Ovis aries: one gene and its partner. The protein of the gene in region 2 binds, or shares a complex with, the protein of the main gene of each other region. Links are inferred from orthologs where the notes say so. Each region holds a gene or a part of one and is shown on either strand. Other genes may lie near its edges.

Evidence for each region. The genes of interacting proteins can lie anywhere in the genome.
Region 1: the proteins of SCML2 (region 2) and histone H2A.J are in contact, whole or in part, in a crystal structure (PDB 4EDU), measured with the Homo sapiens proteins. The link is inferred for Ovis aries from reciprocal best matches to the Homo sapiens genes SCML2 and H2AJ. Residues at the interface, in NP_006080.1 of Homo sapiens: Asp182, Asn185, Tyr187, Leu188, Cys190, Phe206, Trp209, Phe213, Pro239, Pro240, Gly241; in NP_808760.1 of Homo sapiens: Leu35, Arg36, Lys37, Gly38.

What each region holds. Positions count from the first base shown.
Region 1 is NC_056056.1:200,765,236-200,767,879, forward strand, and holds histone H2A.J, read right to left. Parts: upstream 1,199-2,644; 5' UTR 1,130-1,198; coding exon 740-1,129; 3' UTR 567-739; downstream 1-566. UniProt on the Homo sapiens protein: Core component of nucleosome. Nucleosomes wrap and compact DNA into chromatin, limiting DNA accessibility to the cellular machineries which require DNA as a template.
Region 2 is NC_056080.1:16,602,925-16,606,575, forward strand, and holds part of SCML2 (sex comb on midleg-like protein 2), read right to left. Parts: intron 2,523-3,651; coding exon 2,452-2,522; intron 1,621-2,451; coding exon 1,386-1,620; intron 1-1,385. UniProt on the Homo sapiens protein: Putative Polycomb group (PcG) protein. PcG proteins act by forming multiprotein complexes, which are required to maintain the transcriptionally repressive state of homeotic genes throughout development.

The DNA.
Region 1 (2,644 bases), on a different chromosome or scaffold from region 2:
GCACTACACATATTACTGGATGGTTCCTTCATTTTAAAGAAATGTGAACATAAGCGTGCACACAAAAATATCTGACACCCCAAACAAGAAAACACAACAGCTGTCAGGCCAAGAAAAATCTGTTAAATTGACACCGTGTCGTCAAAGCTACTCTTCCAAGATCCAAAGTTATTCTCCCTTCTGAAAAGTGTGGCCGGACAGACAACCTCCTGCCCAAGACCACATCTTCATCACTCTCTTTCCTAGAACTGGTTCCGGAACTGCCCTAACAGGGAGCACAGGCCCTGGGAGGCGGATGTAAAAACAACTGGCCCAGCCTCATCTGCACCTACTCGGCGTTGCCTCTGCCTCCGGACGAGCAGGGAAAGCCCCCGACTCTGCCCACCTCCACGCCAGTGGGTCCCTTCTGGTCTCCCTTGATCCGCCCGTAGCGCCTCGAGGGTGGCTGCGGAACAAAGCTGCCCAGAAAGTGGCTCAAGCCGACCCACCAGTACCTCTTCCAAAGGTCTCCCGGTCGCCCCTGGGTCTCCCGGCAGGGCCCCGCGACTACACAGCTCTCTCGACCAGACGATTTTCACCGACTTTATTGGGCCCCGGACCCAGTTGGTCTCGCCGCCCACCTCCCCACTAGATGGCTCCGGCTCTCCATAACATCAAGCATATTCAAAAACACTGCGGGCGGGGCGACTCTGGAGAGAGCCCTTGCTGGGAAGCCGGCTCCCCTGTGGCGGCATCAGGGTCACTTGCTCTTCGTCTTCTGACTCTCCGTCTTCTTTGGCAGCAGCACGGCCTGGATGTTGGGCAGGACGCCGCCCTGAGCGATGGTCACTTTCCCCAGAAGCTTGTTTAGCTCTTCGTCGTTGCGGATGGCGAGCTGCAGGTGGCGAGGGATTATCCTGGTCTTCTTGTTGTCCCGCGCGGCGTTGCCAGCCAACTCCAGGATCTCCGCCGTCAGGTATTCCAACACCGCCGCCAGGTACACCGGCGCCCCGGCGCCCACTCGCTCCGCGTAATTACCCTTGCGCAGCAGTCTGTGCACTCGGCCCACTGGGAACTGCAGGCCCGCTCGAGACGACCTGGATTTGGCCTTTGCCCGCACTTTGCCGCCCTGCTTTCCGCGACCAGACATGTTTGTCTCTCGCCTAAAACTCCAGCGAGAGGAAAAAACCCAGCGATCCGGTTCCTAGTACAAGAATGCAACGTACCACACCGGAACTGCCTCTACCAACACTTTGCTGACACTAGGCAGCGCCTTCCCATTGGGCTCAGCAGCTTCCTTGGCTCCGGTGACCAATGACAGGCAGGCTCCCAATTAGGACGCTGGCAGAAGGACCACCTTCTCCACCTTTCTCCAATCAAAAGAGCAAACTTCTCAGTCCTCATTTACATAACCGCTGATATAAATATCTAGGTCCGCTTGCTCCGCGGTTGGGGTTCCATTGAATTTATTGAGTTCGGCTGAATTTAGCGGATTCTGAGGTTTCAACCTCCTCCGTCGCTCTCAGGAAAAGAATGTCTTAAAAATTAAGGAACCGTGGTAAGAAACAGAAAAATCAGGAAGGAGAGTTACTCCTTAGTTAACTTAGTCAACAAATACTAAGCACTCAAGCAAGAAATGCCTCTAGCAGTTCGGGCTGAGTATGCCCGAAATTTTTGACACATTACCTTTATTATTATTGACACTTAAAAAAAAAAACCCCTTGTAAGCAAAAGAGATCTCTAACTTGAAAATGTTCTAAGCTTGATTTTTAAGTAAATACTAAAAACAAAGCAAAACAAACAACAACAACAAAAACCCTATGTTGCCATTACAAGAATCCTGACTCTGCCACACTTTTCCTTCTTTTGAATCAAGCATTAAAATCATGCGGTTCAATTTGACTATTTAGGACTCCCCACCCCACCCCCACCCCCACCTCCCAGCCATCCTGTGTTCTGAGGGTTCTTTTATTTCTGCTTTAACAACAACACTATATTTTTTGTGCTATAGAGATGGGTGAGGATAGGTACATAATAAGCAAATATTTGCAATAAAGCTTTCCTACTGGAAAGGCTTATTCGTCAGGACTAGGTACAGGGAGCACAATTTACCAAAATATTCATTCCTCATGGTGTTAAGTCCTGGGAAAGAGTTATGAATCATACTTAAATACTGCTGCCTTTTTTCACAGTATGAACCTTTTGGGAAAACAGTCCTATCTCCTAGAGTGGTGACACTGCTCAAAGTTCCGTTTTTCTCAAGGGATTTCTTAAGAAATGAGAACCTCCTGATTTAAAGCCATGATCATGGCATCCACCATTTCACAAGAACGTCGATTTTTGATGAAATAAGAGCGTTACATTATTTTAGCTAATCACAGAAATTGTCATTTGACTGAGAAGCAAAACCCCGTGCTTGGGCTGGGGGTGGGGAACGGAGGAAGCAGTAAAAGCTGCAAATTGTGCAGAAGCAGCTGCAAGAGAAAAGTCGGCGGTGGGGGTGGGGAGGAAAGGGTAAGGTTAGACTTCTTCGGAAAAGATTTTAATTTTTTCTGCAGGGGGCCACAAAAGAGAAAACGATTGAAAGATTTCCTCTACCCCAACTGATGACTTTAAAAGACCCACAGGTGTAAAGCAACTGCTTTAGGTAGTGGCTCAGACGGTG
Region 2 (3,651 bases):
AAAACTATGTAAGTTGTGTTATATTAAAATGGAAACTAAACTATTCAAAAGCATCTCATGAGCAAATTGGCAAAAATTGTATTTTTTTATTATGTGGTATCACAATGCATACTAGTCAGCATGTATTGCTATATATTTCATATTTTTAATTAATAAACTCTAAAAAGTAATTTGAAAAAATAATGATTATAAATTTGGTTATGTGTCTGAAATGCTGACAATCACCACAGCTGTTTCCTTTAAACAAAATACAAACACATACTAGCATACTGTCAATAGAGAAATAAAACCCAAACATGGAAGCACTAAGCCTCAGATGTATATCTGTTACAGAAGTCTGTATGATTTAAGATATTATAAAAATAAGCAATAAAAAAATTTGAATGTTATGAAGAAAAGGGGAAAAGCAGAAAACACACATATCCTAAACCATCTTCTTGGGAATAACACATACTTGATTAGTTTTTAAAAATACTTTAAACCAAGTTAGTATTAATTAACCATTAGAAGAAAGACAATATAAAATGATGTTATTAGAAAAAACAGTTATTACTGTCTTAAATTTTTTATTCTCACAGCTTCTTTCACTAGTTGGAGACAAAAAAAATTAACTGTCTCACTGTGCATTATAATAGAGCATTTACATTTTAGCATTATAAAAAAGAAACAAAAACCAATACCCACCATTCACTCAGAATGTGCAAGTAATAAACTAAATACTTATATTCTACAGAATACCATGGTACACCAAAGTATTAAAACAGAAAAATTTTTGCACAAAATTAGGGTCATGTACTTTGTTTCTTTTAAAAACTTGGTTAAAATCAAGAATTTTATATTAAAAACCTTTGCTGAAGTGTTACATCAATCTCTTCCTTTACAAAGACCTAAAGTAACTGATTCCTACCCCTCTCACTATGATTTCTTCCCATACAGGTGTAATGAAATTCCCAAGCCTAACACTGGCGTCCCAGTGTAAAATCATCTCCTTCTGCCATGCTAATCCCCATAACAAAAAGGATGAATGGCTCATTAGACAATACTGAGGGAGGAAGTGACTCATATCGAATGCTACAAACTTCTCCCCCAGAAGGGTTTCTGAATCTGCAAGTGTAATCTGCTTTTGACATTTCAAGTTTTAAGGCAGAAGGAGTCTTGCTCTGGAGTGGGAACCTTTAGCCACACATATGCCAAAATATGTACTTAAATGAAACTCTATAACATATGGTACTGAGTTACTTTCTCAAACCTTCTCCACAGTAACCACCTGACCGTCTGTTTGCCAGAATGCCTAGGAGAAGAGATTTTCAAAGGGTCAGTTAAAATTATTTCTACTGAATATTACATTAGCAAAAATATTTTGTTTTAAAACTGTTTATCCTTACCCAGTGGAGGCTGAAGTAAGTCCCCTTCCTTTTCACATGTCCCAACAGGCTGTATGTCTGGAGAATCAACCAGCCGCCAAAAGTCATTTTGGTTATCACTACCATCCAATCTTAAACGCAGCCTGGCACCTGTAACTCCAACAACTGTAGCAATACATACTGAAGTCGTATTGCGAGGGTCATGGGCTTCCAACTTCATGCCAACTTTGAAGTCATTAGCTGGTGGAATCTTAGACTATATACATAAACACATACAAATAAAATTCTGTTAAAACTCTTTAACTGTAGGAAAATCAAACGGTCAGTTATGTTACCAGAATACATGAGGAACATTTTAAGTAACAGTTACAACAGTTGGTGAACAAAATGAGAGCTGTAAGGGTTAACAAAAAGATCTCCAAATTCTCTCCTTGGCTTGACACACAGCCTGACATGGCTGCCCACTGCTTGTCACTCACTCATCTGCCCACTTCCAGGCAAACCAAATACAACCTCTAAAATGCATCCTGAGTGCCTTTCTAATATAAGAATTTGATTAGGCCTTTACTCTTAAAGTAAGCCAAAAGGCAGCTTACCACTGCCTAATGTAAAGTCCAAACAGTCAGTATAGTTTAAAAGCCACCACACTTTAACCTCACTCCCATACTTAGGTCTCTATCTACTTAGTGCTCCAGCCACCCATACCATCCCTCAACACTCAGGTTCTTTTACGCCCATGTCTCTTTCCTTTGGATGTTCTCTCTGCCTGGAATATCCTTCCCCTCATTACAACTACCTCAGATAGGACCTCTTCTGTGAGTCCTTTCCAGTATAGTTATCACACTTTTTATCATTAATTATTTACATGGCTACCTTTCCCTCCAGATGGGCAGTCATAAGAGCTTAGTATACCTGACATAAAGTAAATTCTTAATCAATGAATGCGAAGAGACCATCTGGTTCTTAAGCAGCACTCCCACAATCCCACATTGCTTCACACTAATAGAACCTAATAACAGATTCCCTTCAACAAGTTAATAGTTTACAAAAATAAATATAACATGGTATCTACAGAATTTTGGCATACCTGTCTGAAATACTCTGAAGGAGCACTTAAAGATCCAGTCTCTTCCAAGTATTTTTCCCATTGAAAATTATCTGGAAAAAAACATGCAAAAATAGGTGGTTTTTTTGGTTTATTTTTGGGCCCCACCAGCATAGCTTATGGGATCTTAGTTCCCCAATCAGACAGCAAACCCAGGCCCATGTCAGTGAAAGTATCAAGTCTTAACCACTGGATTGCCAGAGAATTCTCAGGGTTTTTAAAACATATATAATATGTATACTAACTTTCAGGAATAAAATGGATTTTAGTTCCATATCTCTTTAAAGAAATACTTCTCAAAGGACAAATACAAACTTCCTCATCTGACTACCAGCATGGAAATAAAAAATAAGACCATTTCCTGATAATAATGGTTCTGATATAAATGATAATCCAGATTTTCTTGATGTAATGAGGACTGCATCACAGTGATTCTAAAAACGTGAACTCTAGAAACAACTAAAGGACTTTTTATAGCGTAATAGCAAATTCTACTCATATGTCTCTAATACTAATTTACTCAAAATATGTCTTTATCATTTCATCTCACTATTCTGAAGCTATTTCTTTGTTTTTCACAGGGATCTAAAGGTGTGTGGCATAGCAGAAATAAAGCATTAATTTATGGAAAGAAAAACTCTGAGAACCAGCGTTGTTTCTCAATTGACTATTAGATCTCCATCCAGGGTGTCAGAATATGGTGGCAGAATAAAGCAGAAACCAGTCATCAGTGCAATGACTAACACAGATTGTTGTAACAATCTATATTTTCTGCAAACTCCTTCTGTTCTTTCTCTCACTTAGTCTTGATGACATATAATGCTAGAAGTAAAGGTCAAAAGGCAGTACACTTTTCCCGGACACTTCAATTGACTGTGTCAGTCACAATGCCCTGAAAGACTTGACAGCAGTATTAAAGGTACTATTAACTCATATAAACTTTAATTCTCATCAAACATGAGGGTTTTTTTTTTTCTATACTCCCTGTTTAATTAATCTCTTTACTATAAAAATATTAGGGCTCCACAGTTCCCTCCCTAGGGGAATCTGTGTTACTAGCCCCTTATACATTCTTCAAAGGCTGTAACAGTTCCACTTACACACACACACATTCATACACTGCTGATAAATGTTTAACAGCCAGCTTTCCAGAAAATACAAACAAGAAGCCTGACTGGAACT